Tamandua tetradactyla: one gene and its partner. The protein of the gene in region 1 interacts with the protein of each later gene in a pairwise test. Links are inferred from orthologs where the notes say so. Each region holds a gene or a part of one and is shown on either strand. Other genes may lie near its edges.

What was found. The genes of interacting proteins can lie anywhere in the genome.
Region 2: the proteins of PLD1 (region 1) and PEA15 interact in a two-hybrid assay, tested with the Homo sapiens proteins (2 studies listed by BioGRID). The link is inferred for Tamandua tetradactyla from reciprocal best matches to the Homo sapiens genes PLD1 and PEA15.

Annotation. Positions count from the first base shown.
Region 1 is NC_135331.1:69,252,729-69,259,822, reverse strand, and holds the start of PLD1 (phospholipase D1), read left to right. Parts: upstream 1-4,083; 5' UTR 4,084-4,185; intron 4,186-7,094. UniProt on the Homo sapiens protein: Function as phospholipase selective for phosphatidylcholine. Implicated as a critical step in numerous cellular pathways, including signal transduction, membrane trafficking, and the regulation of mitosis.
Region 2 is NC_135330.1:13,265,618-13,272,559, forward strand, and holds the start of PEA15 (astrocytic phosphoprotein PEA-15), read left to right. Parts: upstream 1-3,926; 5' UTR 3,927-4,073; intron 4,074-6,942. Other genes in the region: CASQ1 (calsequestrin-1), read left to right, coding at 177-320. UniProt on the Homo sapiens protein: Blocks Ras-mediated inhibition of integrin activation and modulates the ERK MAP kinase cascade. Inhibits RPS6KA3 activities by retaining it in the cytoplasm. Inhibits both TNFRSF6- and TNFRSF1A-mediated CASP8 activity and apoptosis.

The sequences.
Region 1 (7,094 bases):
GGACATTTTTGATCAATACAATGATTGGAGGCTACTTACTAGTATTTAGCGGGTGGAGGCCGGGGTGGAGGGGGAGACTAGAAGCTCTGCTGTGCATGGGACACAGTCGTCCTGAACAATGAAGAGTTGTCCCTGGTCCCAGAAAACTTTCAAAGGTCTTACCAGGCATTCATGTAAGTGAAAAACCTGCTGATTCTCTGAGCCCAGAACTTAACAATCTTTTTCATATAAACCACAAATATTTTGGCATATTTTTAATATACACTGCATTTTAAGGGAACACAAACAGTTTACAAATCGAGGGAAAATTGTACTTTGGAACTTTACTAAGCATTGTTCATGTAAAGTTAATTTTTGGAAAATCATGCAGCGAATGGCGACATCTTTTTTAGTCTGCAGTTGTAACTGTCACATTCAAGCGTCAGTATAGAGAAATGGTGGCGACTTGCTACTTAAAGCAGTGGTGTAGAAAATAAACAGGTGAAAACTGTTATACTTCTTGCAAATAAAAACACATTAATTATAAGTCATGCAAACATCTGATTCCTCCATAATGTCTTCTAGAGCGGTCTGTTTGAGCATGTTAGGTTTGGAGAGATATTCTACTATAAATTACTTTCTTTTTGTTCTCCTTTATTGATTGTTAGTTCACTGTATATTTTTGCAATGTTGAATTAACTCCATGTCAAGATAGTAAAGGCTTAGGGTTAAACAGTAAAGTATGTAGCTCTGGTAGGGCTGCACAGAGGAAAGGCGTGTGGAAGGAGAGCAACATTCCCAACAGTATATGATTTTCAAAATAGAAGCAATGTTTTGTGGAAAACTGTGTCATTGTAACTACTGAGGGAACAGCTACTTTAGCTAGAACAAAATATGGATTCTGGGCTAAGGGGACAGAGTGATGACCACCAATGGCATTTATTTACTGCATCATTCAAAGGCAAGAAACTCATGCAGCAAAGAAGTTTAAGCTACTCATGCACAAATTGCCAGAGGATGGCAGCGACGTAGATGACATTATAAAAGCCAGACCTTTAACCTACTGTAAACTATTTATGGTTCTTTGTAATGAGATGATGAGTGATCATGGAAACATTTTGTACTATGGACAAAGTTGCTGCTTAGGTCATGGTAGAGTACATTTCAGACTTGTCAAACTTAGAGGAACTACTAATTCTTATTTTCTAAAAAGGCTGTGTTCTTAATCCTGTGTTTTCTATAGTAAGTGCCTCTCAATTCTATGATAGTAGAGTTTTTGTTTTTTTAATGAATACTGCTACAGCCACTTCTGCCTTTGCTCCATGAGCCCAAATCCAAACCTGGCAGGGCCCCTTGCGCTGTGAGAGTCAGCCCATGGAGCTAGACTATAAGGGGGATAGGATGGTGATGGCAATATAGTGGACAGATCTGCCTTTTGGCTTGGATAGTGCAGCCCCAAATTGTCTTTCTGCCAAGGATATGCACAGTTGGGAAGAAGTAATTCTCTATAAGAAAATGAAACTATCAGAAAAGATGGTGGATGCTGGGCATCCCAAAAGGACGGAGGTCATCTGGACAGTATAGAAACAGAATAAGTACCACAAGGGAAAATCTTGGGGAGCACATCGGTATGCAAACTTTGCAGAGTAGTTTTGTTTTTATTAAAAGCATTAATGCAAATTAATAGGAAGAACAATAATATTACCATAGGGAAAAAAACAGGCAACAGACATGAATAGGTCATTCTCAATGATACAAATAACCAATAAACACGAAGCAAACTGTGTTCAGCATTACTGATAATCAAAGAAATGCTGATTAAAGCAAGATGTTATATTGATCCATCACATTTTCAAGTTTACAAGCAAGATAAGACTCACAGAACCTCAAAAACATTTATGAATGTAGATCTAGTTTTCCACACTCAGGAATCTATCCTAAAGAACCTAGAGACTCAACAAAGACCGATATCCATAGTGCTCGTTCCAACATGATCTCCAAACTTCAGAAATGTCTGAAGACATTCTAAAAGGGATAAATAGATGAACAGATACATAAGTGATTGGAATATTCCACAACCATTCAAAATTATATTTTTAAAGAAAATTTAATGATGGCAAAAATGCTCATTGCGCACACACACACACACACATATATTCAGTGAAATAAGTAGGATTCTAAACTGTACAACATGATGTTAATTTTACATAAGCCTTTATTAATGTATATAAAAAATAAAAAAGAAATATATCAAAATATTAACAATGGGTGTGTGTGTAATATTATAGGTGATTTTGTTTTTCTATGATCTCCAAGTTTTTTTTCAGTGAACATCTGTTACTTTTATTCTCAGAGAAAAGGAGAAAAATTAAGATGATTTTAATATGTCTGATAAAAAAGTCAAATGCATATCTAGCTAGATATATAACAGGATTTCTTAGTGACTCTTTTTTTTGACATCTTTGAATGTGTGAAGGATTGGGGGGAAAAATCCCCAGCAAATACCTGAGGAATATAAAAATAATTACATACAGAATCATACTACTATAAAACTTACCTTTGGCAATCCATAGCTCAAGTTCATCTCTAAACAACATATAGCATGTTTCTATTTTATTCTAGTCAGAAAGCCAGAGATTAAATTTGGGGGGCTTTTAAATAATTTTATTTCTAGTTACATTTAATAGAAAACCTATTGTTTGTAGGTTTGTGCCAAATGTTTATTTTAAATGATGATACTTAGGAATTTGGGATGCAATTTTATAGCATGCTGCTTCTCAACCATAAGTGTTATAATTTCTAAGGACAAGCTCCAAGAGTATAGTCACTTGTGTGAATAATACATATCAAATCATCTGTGACTAATAAAACTTGAGAAGGAAGGGGAGGAAAGAGGGTTTTCAGGCTTTCAATAACATGCTTGTCTTAAACTTGCCAAACTCCTCTTAGGCAATGTTCTGTTTGCTCAGAGGGCCATGTGCTTAATTGTAAAAATCTGTCAGTATCATAAGATTCAAAAGACATCAATCATCTCTTTCAGCAAGGAAAGGGTGACAAGGCTGTATGACTCTTCCCTCATTAGGAAAAGATGTGCTCAAGGGAGAAAAATGTAGTCCAGGGAGGGCTGAGCAACCATAGATTACAGAAAAAGGAGTTCCAGACGATAATTTCAGCCTGTCTGTCTACTTTGGGCTGGATTATTATGTTTTTCATTTCATGTTGCTCCATGTGCAATAAGACCTTGTGTATCTCTGACAGTCTGGGCTGTGTAATATCCACTAAACCCGTTAGAAGTGCCATCGGTATGAAATTTGGGGTATGTGGAGACGATTGCTTCCTTCAGCCTTGGCAGGAGGCAGTACTGTGTAATAAGCTAGGGGCTGGCCTATATTCAAAAAACATATCCCCAAAGGGCTGCTGTTCAAGCCAACTGGTTCTCTTTTTCATAAAACTCTATTTTAAGTGTACTGAAAATGGCAAAGATTGCTGGATTTGGAGCGTTCCACGGGTGGGATGAGAATTTTCCATATTTCACTCCCAATTTCTGAATTATACTGAGCTCGGGCTTTAGAGACATCAAAACACAAATTCCAGTCTCCTGCGTTTTAAGGTGGGCCGTTCAGGGAGTTGCAAGAAGGTTTAGAGGTGAGGCCAGAAAGCTCCTACTTCTGAATTGTATCACCTCAGGCAAGTTATTTCAACTTTTTTGGGCCGCTATTTCTTTATTTGTATGACAGGGCCTCGAGTGGCTACCAGCTGCAGTGGACCAGATGGATCATGTAGGCGAAGCTCCTAGAACGATGCCCGGGCACGTGGGGACTCAAGAGAACCCGAAACGATAACAATGGCTAGGGAACATTCCTTAGGCTGATGGGGTCGGGTTATGAAACTCCGGGAAAAAGAGAGAATAAAAAAACGGGGACAAGGAGAGACGCCTAGTGGCCGGGGCCTTCCTGCCCCGCCGTGGCGGCCAGTGGCAGCCACGACGCGCCCGGCACCCGGCACCGCCTCGCTCCACCCCTGCGAAGCCGGGGCGCAGCCTGGAGGCCAGTTCCGGGCGGCGCAGGGCGCGGGGCCCCTTCCAGCACCCCTGCTTTTTCTCTGCTACCCGCCCCCCCCCCCGGTCGCTCCAGCTGCGCCGGCTGGGCCCGAGCCCCGTAGTCCGCGGAGGCCGTGCAGGTGCCCGCTGCCGCCCTGGCGAGGCAGGTAAGAGACGCAGCGCGCCCCAGGCTCTCGGGGCTCCGGGGAGCCTGGTTCCCGCCGCCCTGGCGCTCCGGCCCTCCTCCCGGGCGGCTGGCCGCTCCCCGCCCAACTTGGACGGGACCTTGGCAGCTGCGTATGCGGCAGGCGCCAGCGCCGCTGGGGCCTGGCGCGATCGCGCCTCCTCGGGGCCCCCGGGGGCCTCCTGGGCACGCCTTTGGGCCCACGTCCTTCAGCGCCGACAACTTGGGCGCGCAGCTTTGCCGAGGCGCGCGACTGCCCGAAGCTCGGAGCTGCGCTGGGGCCCTGGGGTGCAGCCTGTCCGGTGGCCCCAGGCCATCTCGCGCGACCCCGGGTCGCGCCGGGCCGCGCCGACACAGCCTCTGCGTGCGCTCTGGGCTGGCCGGGATGGCGGTCGCGCTGGGACCAGCATCCCGAACCGACCAGGAAGTGCCACGTGCCGAGGGTGGGAGTTGGCCAGGTGCATGGTCCGGGGCAGGTGGTCACACAGCCGCTCCCACGGGACCCGCGATGGGATGACACCGAGGCTGGGGCAGGCGCGGAGGACCTGGGGCCCCGCGTGTGTTCTAGGGCTTGTTCTCCTCGCTCCGGGTTCGAGATATTTGCAACACTCTTCTCGGATCCAGGAGCGCGGTTCCCCGCGACTTCCACTGGATTTTGAGAAGCCCTTCAGAGCCGCCCTGGTAGAATCAGTCCAGCTCTACTGCCACGCCTGCGTTTACTTCTCCTAATCTTGGGCTGTTGGGTTCTTTTTACTTCCTCTGTAAAGCATTAAATGCAAGTGGATTCCGAAGTAACGCAGGCGTTGCTGCATTTGATCATCTTTTCTTCTCTCCGCAGAGTGCGGAGTTCCGTTAACTTTATCAGCCAGGCCTGCCAATTTCAGTTGAGATAACCCAGACTTCCGTGGTGTGTTAAATGGGGTTTTAACTATGGGTGGTGCACTTAAAACTTAAAGGAATGAAAAGAATGCTTCCGTGTGAACTGTGAAAAGATGCCACCTTTACATCCTGCGTATTTTAACAAGAATCTAATTCAGGATTAAATGTTTTGTAGCATATACACAAATGAATTTGCACAGTCTTTTAGCCTGAATTTGTACTCAGCCTGTAAGTGTTGTTTGGTGATCCTTTAACTTATTGTGTGAACTCCCAGCCTGACTTCTCAGGATGCAGTACAATTTAGAATTCCTATAAAAAGCATGAGTAGTTAAGGCTTTTGGGAAAATGTGTTTTTAGCATGCTTGTCCCTGATGTCAGAATATTTATGAACAGTGATCCCTGCTGTATAACATACATTTAGGCTTATTGATTCACGACCTTGACGGTGGGAAACTGTGCTTGTTGGAGAAGTCTCTGATTACTTACTGGGTGTTTCTTAATATAAAATGGTGGTTAAAAAGTTTATTTACCTTTAACTCTATAGGGTGTTAATGATAGCTTTCTTTTTCTCATTAAGCAAGGCATGAGTTTTTTTCATAGCTTTAGAGAAATATACTTTTAAGAGGAAAGGTGGAAATCCATGCCTAAACTACATCTATTAAGTCTTTTCTTCATCAGGGAAGGTCTAATAAATTACTATCTGAGGATAAGCTTGTAACTATTTAAATGTGGCTATAAGGTTATTGTTAAGTAATAAAGAGGGAGGAATAGATAAAGGAGTTATTGTTGGATGGTTTCCTTCTCTGAATATCTAACAGAAAGATAAAATAGTCAATTTTGTCTCCCTTTGCAGTGCATCGCATCTGTCTAAATTAAGCTCGAGCTCAGTTGCTTAGTAACTAAAAGCAGTTTTGATCAAGCTAGCTTCTGGGTGTAGTAATTTCCTGGCCACTCCAGGTGTTTACAAAAGTTGGATGCTATAGGACCAAGCATCGAAGAAATGGCTCTTTAAACTTGCAGTTAGGCTGACTCATAGTGTCAAGAGAGAAGCAGAAGTTGAATAAGGCCTGGTTTTCTGATTACAAAACTTTAGGTCTTAGCACCACAAAGCTACATTTATTCCCCTGCCAGAAAATGGCTAAATGTTGTTGCAGGGTTAAAATAGGAAACCCATAACTTGAATTTCTCATACATCTTTGACATTTCTAATTAGAAGGGAATCATGCAAATCATTGTATCATAGCTACAATGGGAATGCATTCTGATGTGTTCATTTCCCTGAATTCAATGTAAAATTCTGGAGTCCAGATGTTTTAGTGTTGGATTATTAAACAACAGTATATGTTATGTAAGTGTTTCATAGCATCACGATTGTTTTTCTTTCTGTTGTGAACCTTTCTTAAGTTTTAAATGTATTGAATAAACATTTTAGTGCCAGTATTAAATGATTTGTTTATTCAGTAAACACTTATGTGTTGCTTACTTTACGCCAGGCACTCTTCTAAGCTTTTACAAATTTGAATACATTTAATCCTCAAAACAACTCTGTGAAGTAGCTAATCTCATTACGCCCATTTAACAGACCCAGAAAGACATCATTGAGATTTCCCCCTCTTCTCTGCCAACAAATGAATTGTTTTCGGATTTTTATTTTCCTGGTCTTGTCCTCTTCTTGAGGCGTAAATAATTTAACATAATTACAAACATAATGCAACTCAGTCAGTTCCACTCCCTCACTTTTCAGAAAAGGAAAACTAAGGTGGAAAGTGGTTCTGTGCAGGGGTGGAGAGGCTGGGATAGGGTCCTGGAGACCCTCTGCTGACTCAGGTGTTAACTGGTCGTTGTGGGAAGCTGGGGAGGGGGGACTTGGGAGGGCTGGGAGGTCAGTCTGTTTTTTGGGGGTGGGTGTATTCACGGACTGTGAAGAAAGGGTTTCAATCTTTTAATAATCAACATGGCCAAAGCAGATCCAACTGGCTACATAAAGACTGTGTTATGTCAGTGGCCAACAGA
Region 2 (6,942 bases), on another chromosome or scaffold:
TGGTTACTATTCCAATCCAGACCTTCCCCTGAACAGTTTATCTAGCTATTAACAGATGAAAGGAAGGGACAAGACATATAGGGAAGGATAGAGTCCAATAAGTAGGAGGACAGGCCAAAAGACCTCATGCTCAGCCTTCTGTCCCCCTTCTGTCCCCTGTCCACGCCATCTCCTAGGCGGACAGCATATGGATGGAGATGGACAATGAGGAAGACCTGCCTTCTGCTGAGGAGCTGGAGGAATGGCTGGAAGATGTGCTGGAGGGTGAAATCAACACAGAGGACGACGATGACGACGACGATGACGACGACGATGACTAGTCAGTTGCTGTGGCAACCATGTTCCAGGCCCACCTGCTCTTCTCATGCTCCCTCCTGCCTTCCTTGTCCTTTCCTTGAGCTCCTCCAGGGACACAAGACCATTCTCTGCATAAGGCCCACTGGGTCTATATGTTGGGTGCAGAGACAATGACTCCCCATATCTGTTGAAGAAAGGAGCTACTTTTCCCTAGACATCAGCCAAGTCCTCTCATCCAAATTCTGTTTCTTATTTCATAACTTTACTTGTATCTACTCTTCGTTTCTTCCATCGCACCCTATACTTTTTCTTGTGGTTTTCCCAAGAGAACCACAAAGCTACAGGCCCCCCATCTCTCTCCTGTTCCCTTCATCTATGCACACCCTTTCCCAACTCTCTCAGATCCTATATCCTTCTGACTGTCTTATTCCTAGCCAGGAGGAAGGGAAGGTATTGTGGGGCGGTCTCTCAGCAATCTCTTGTTAATGTATTTGGGTCAAATGAGAGCCCTCAATAAAAAGATCTGGGGCAGCATAAGCAAGTGTCTGCTGGTGAAGTCTCACCCCTGTGGCAGGAGGGAGGAGGCCAAAGGACAAGATTTGAGTGTGGGTGCCTTGTTAGGGATGAGCTATGGGACTGCACTAGGAGGGGGATGGGGCTCCCTCCAAGCAGTCAGCCCAAAGAAGCCTGTATTATTTATCCATTTCAAGTCAACAAGGCTTTTCTGAACACATGGTGTTTGTCCAGTGCAGCGGTTAGGCTTAGGGAGAACAGAGAGTGCCAGGCCTGTCCCTGCTCTTGAGCTGGTTAGCTTCACTGGAAAGTCAAGACAAGCACACTAAACAACTGAAGAAAAATACAAAGCAGTATGTAATTAAGTGATTACGTGCTGCTTGATTGCACCCTCCCTGAAGCTCTTTTTCAAACTTTAAGACAGATCCCAAATAATACTTCCTGGATAAGGCCTTCCCAGAGCTTGCCCCATTCCTGTAGCTCCCTCCATTGGGTCCCATGGCACTTTTGAGGCATACCTCTATTCTAATACTTGGCACAATATATTACAGGTCTTCATTCACATGTCTGTCTTCCCCACTAGATTGTGAATCCCTTGAAAATAGGGACCCAGGCTTCTTCTCTGCATCCACGGGGTCTGACATACAAAAATTCCCAATAAATGTTTCTTAAAAGAAGGAACAAATGGAAGAACAGAATGCACTCAGAAGAAAGAGATTGGAGAGTGTTGGATGTCTTCATAAAGGACCTAGGCCATAAATGAGTAGTGGGATTCGACTAGGGACGTAGGAGTTCAGGAGGGAACATTTTAGTTAATGGAAACATCAAAAGTACTGGCAGGATGTGTTTGTCATACTGGTGGCACGGATGAGACGAGAGACGATAAGAGACGTTTAAATGGTGGCAGTGAGTTTGGGTGGGTAAATAGGGCTGGGTTATGGAGGTGTTTAAATGTAATCCTGTTAGCTGGTGGGAAAGGCAAAATTTAATCTAGCGGTAATAACCAGAGAGATATAGAGAGGTGAGATGATAGAGATACCAAAGGCAGGGGGTCCAACTCTTGTAATAAGAGACTGTTATAATAATCAGGAGGTTGGGTGAACAAGGAACTTGGCGACAGGAATGGAGAGGAGATACATTGGGTTTTGTAGAATGGGGATCCCCCAGACTTGGGCCCTGCTAGAGATCCTGGCAGGAAGGACCCACGTTCTCTCCGAGAGGGTAAAGCGTAAGGGAGTTAGGAGGGAAAAACCAAGTAGCTAAACCTACAAGCCTGTAAATAATCGACATTACATTTTTTTCGTGGATCAGGTATAAGGGTGATTTTTAAGTATGGGGAGGATGTGATCTGAAGTTAGAAAAGTTCCTATTCTCCACAGACAAATTCAGGAAGTGTTCCTTAGAGAAGATGGCAGGAGCATAGAGAGTAGAAACCATATATTCATCCAACTTGTACGCATTTAATAAAGATTTGCTAAATAGGACGGGCACTCGGCTAAGACAATAATATTACGGAGCTTACTGTCTAACATAGGTTAGTGGAAGCCCTGGGACTAAATAACAGGTCCCATTTTTAGGTACCCACCTGTCCCAGTTCCTAGAGATTTCTTATCGTTTCTAAATCTCAGGAGAGCCTTGGAAGATGGCCTTCCTGTCCCCTTCTTACCGGGAGCACCTGAGGCTTAGAGCCATAAACTGTTCAAAGAAGGAGTGGAGCTGGCATGAATCCCAAGTCTCCTGTAGCACATCGTGGCCTCCAGAAGACTGGAACTTTTCCCTGACAAACTGCATGACAGTAGATCAGTCATTTGGCTTTTCTGAGCTCCAAAGATGGATCAACGAAATAGGTGTTGGCCCCAACAACAGGCTGTTGTGAGGAGCAAAGGAGTTGTACAACGAAGGCAAATACTGAGGGTGTGTTGTTCTCAAAGCGGCAGTGATAGCAGGGCCTGGAAATGAGGCTGGTGAAGAGCAAAGAGAAGGGCTGTGAAACCCGAAGCAAGCAGAGCTCAGGACTCAACTAGAGTCCGTGTAGACCCAAGAAAGGAGGTGCCCATTCCAGGGCTGTGAAACCCGAAGCAAGCAGAGTTCAGGACTCAGCTAGAGTCCATGTAGACCCAAGAAAGGAGGTGCCCATTCCAGGGCTCCTAAGGGATCTCTTGCCTTCCAGGGCGGCACTGAACACTGCTGGTACTCAGACCCAGCTGTTTCCAGGATGGCCTCCCTCTCCCCAGGGCCAGACCTGCCCAGCTGAGAGACCCCTTCAGGCTGGTGATGGGGTGAAAAATAAATGCTTCCCCAATTCTTCCTTCCCTCTTTCAGTCTGGTTGAGAATTTGGGGGAGGAAAGTCCCTGGGGTGGAGCGGAAGTGAGAGAAGCCATGCTAGGCCTAGGCAGAGGGTCAGAGCTGGGAGACAGAGCAAAGTGTGGCTTTGCAGGTTGTCTATATTTGCATGCTGAGCTCACTGCTGCTTTTTTTTCTCCCCAGAAAACAAAATTACATCACGGGGCAGTGGGGGGAGGGGAGCTGGGATAGGGGTATATGTGGGGAAGGTGAGAGGGGCAGAAGGGGGCTGCGGGCTTCACCCCAAGAGTAAAACTACACAGAAGGCCTGAAGAGAGAAGATCCTGGGACCCAGGTCAAGTGAAGGAGGATCCCGCCTTCTTCTCACCCGTATTTCAATGGAGAGAAGTCATTTACTACCGCTCCCCTGACCTATAAGGAGGGAACTACCTGGTGCGGAGAGGGGCTTTTCCAAATATCCAATCCGGAGACCAAAGGGCTTTCCAAGACCCTCAGCCCTTCCTCAACTTGCTCAGCGTCTCCTAAGGTCCCAGCAACTGTGGTCATCGAAAGGTCAAAGGGGGCGGAGGGCATCCCACTGGGAAAGAATTAAATCTGAGAAGTTGAGGAGGAAGAGGCATCGGCCGCAATCCGACCCTCCCCCAATTCTGCCCCTAAGCCTTCCAGAACCCCTGCCCCTCTCTCCCCCGCCCCCCTCTGCTTCCCCTCCCCCCAGCCTCCCCCACTCCCGCCGCTCCCCGCCCCCCCGCCCCTCCCCGGCTCTGACATCACCGGCCAGCCGGGTGGGGTGAGGCGGCGCTGGGCTCGAGCTCGGGCTCGGCGAGCGGAAGAGGCGGCGGCGGCAGCAGAAGCAGCGGCGGCGGCGGCGGCGGCGGGAGCCGAGGAGGAGGCTCCGGACTCTGGCCAGGAACCTGGGGACCCGGGCGTGCCCGCTCCCTGAGCGCTCAGCCCCGAGGCGGTGAGAGGGGCGGGGAGGGGGCGGATTTGGGATCTGGCCTGGGAGGGAAGCCGATCCGGGACGCCGAGGGCCAAATTGGAAGCGTGGGGTCCCCCGAGGGGTCCGGCTGTGTCAGGCCCCAAAGCCCGCTCTGTCGGTGCGTGCTGAGCGCCGTGTGTTTCGGAGGTGGTGCGGCGTCGGCCGCCCATTCCACGCGGACCTGCAGTTTGGGAGTCCGGCCGGGGCCTGGGAATTGGGATGGAGCCTGCTTCCCGCCCAGCCGGCTCTGCCGGGCCAGCTCCCGCCCCTCCTTCCCTTTCTCTGGCTTCGGACTCGCCTCCGCTGGCCATCTCCTGGCCCAGCCCTGCCTTAGTTCCCGTGAGCAGTGTTCCCTGCTCCAAGGGCTCACAGCCTCGATGGCACCATGTGTCCTCATCCTTAGCCCACTGAACCCGGGTAAGAGGAGAGAGAGGCAAAGGCTTGTCCCAGAGTGGAGGAAGGAGCTGGGGATGTAAAGGAGTGAAGTTTCGCTCATAAAACCCCTAATTAATTTCATATAATGTGTGTCAAAACTGACAGGAACACACACACACACATCTACAAGAGACACACCAGCACTCAATGACACACACCCATGTGACTCTTACACAGTGTCTCGCGCACACACCATATCACAAACATCTCCGCACTACACATCCAAACCCCCACCACACCCCCCACTGCTTCTCATGTGCAAGTATCCTGGATGAGGGGCTGCAAAAACCCCAGTCCAACAGGAGAGTTGAGAGGGCGGAAGGGGGCACTGTCCCCAAGTCCATCCTAATTTCCTGAGCAGCCTGCCCCAGCCCTGGTCTTCAGAATCGCCTCCTTTTAAGAGAATGTCTTGGTCTCACTTCTCCTAAAGCACAGGGAGACCAGATCTAGAGGGTGAGTGAGCAGGAAGGGTAGAGGCTGCTGGTGGCCTTTCCTGCTGGGTCCAGTTAGTTTAGGGTGCTAGGAGTGGCTAGTTTCTGGGCATCAGGGTGGCCCGGGGATGGAGGAGGTGGTGGAAGAAAGGAAGAGGGAGAAAAAGAAAGAAGGAATATGAGTCAGCCAGGGATGGAGCCCAAGTAAGAAAGAGAATGAGAGGAATGTGTGTGACGGGGGTGGGGGGGTGGGGGGGGGGGATGGAGACACATCAAGGGAGGGACCAAGAGCCAGAGAGGGACAGAGACACAGTTAGGGAGCCAGAGAGGGGGAGGAAAGTGAGAGACAGAGAGGGTCAGAAGAGTGGGAAGATACTGGAGAATGGAGTACAAGCAGTGCAGAAATTGGGGAAGAGAGCAGGATGGTGGTAAGCCCAAAGGGGGGGCGGGGCGGGGGAATGCACCGAATTTGTGTATCTGGTGTGTTTGGACCCCCAGGCTGTCAGAACCATAATCGTTTTAATTGCTGTCCTCTTGGTGGTAAAACATTCCGTTAGGGAAATTGCCAGCAATGCCCTAGGCTGCTGGCTTCCCTGGTTGCATTCTTCCTCCTTCTGTGACACCTGTGCCCCTCTAGTGTGCATGTATTGTCATGCCATCCCTTCAGTCTCTCACGCAGATCCTCACATACAATATCATAATAGACATCGCCACCAAGCTGTATACAGCCAGTCGCTGATCTCCAGGCCCTCCTCCACAAATTTACTCTATCTCCTTGCCAAGGAGTCAGAGAGAAAGCCTGAAAGGCCTGAAAACCCACTGAAAAGAAGAGAGGAAAAGAGGCTAGGGGGAGGGGAAGTGGATGGAAGAGACCAGGAGATGGAAGAGTGAGGCGGAAATAGGGACAGGGAAAGACATAATCCAATGAGCAGAGACAGATGGGGTTAGAGAAAGGCACAGCCCCTTCTCCCCACTCCACACTGTCAGCAAGCCTCTTCCACTTGGCCCGGTCCAATGCCAAGTATCTCCTGGGTCCCCATCTTGGTTCTGGCCTTTCTCCTTTGACTAAAGGCTGAAGGCTTAGCCCTTAACCCTGTGCTCAGGGATGACCCATTTGTCTTTTTGGACAGAACTGAACATTTTTGGGCCAGTTGTCCTTCCTCCTTAGGCCGGGCTGACCCTAGAGCCTTAGAACCCTCCTCTTCCTTTGGTACAGGAATAAAGGCCCCCAAAGCTGGAGAAAAGCTAAGGGAAGAGATCAATTGAGTATGGTATTAAAGGAATAATTTCATAGGACTACTAGAATGTGGGGGCCCAGAGAGAATTTCTGGGTGGCTGAAAAATAGGGTGGCTGGAACCCTACTCCCCTCTCTTTCTTCCCCCCTGCCTCTGCTTGATCACCCCCTGCACCCTTCCATTCCAAGTTGTAAAAGACTTATAGCCTGGGAGCCCCTCCTGCTCACTCTAGGGACTTCCAGCTCCTTGCAGCTGTGTGGGGATGGCCCCTCCCCTCAGCCTTAGGCAGCTGCAGCAGATGTGTAGAAAGGAGGGGCAGCAGCATCTAATCCTCATGCTTCCTTCTTAAATTTCCTGGTGATTTAGAACTAAATCCTAGGTAGAGGGAACTTCTAGAGCATTTCTTTGGGCCTGGGCCTTTAAAGGGGGTAAAAGGGGCATTATCAAGGTGGAGGACCTGAGGATTTAAGGGGTCTCTGGCTCCACTGCTCATTCACATGGGGAACCTACTCTCCCCTCAAACATGCCCCCCTCAGCATGGTTTTGGGGCTTGCCTGCCTGGTGAAGAAAATGAGAAACCACAATGATTAACCTCTGAGAATTAATTATCTCTGTTGTTTCTGACCTCATGAAGGAGTGTGACCCCCAGGGCAGGCACAACCTGGTCCCTTGTATAGATGAACATTCTAGGCACCTCCTTCCCCACTAAAAAACCCATATCGGGAGGGAATGCCCCAGCAGTTCTTAAA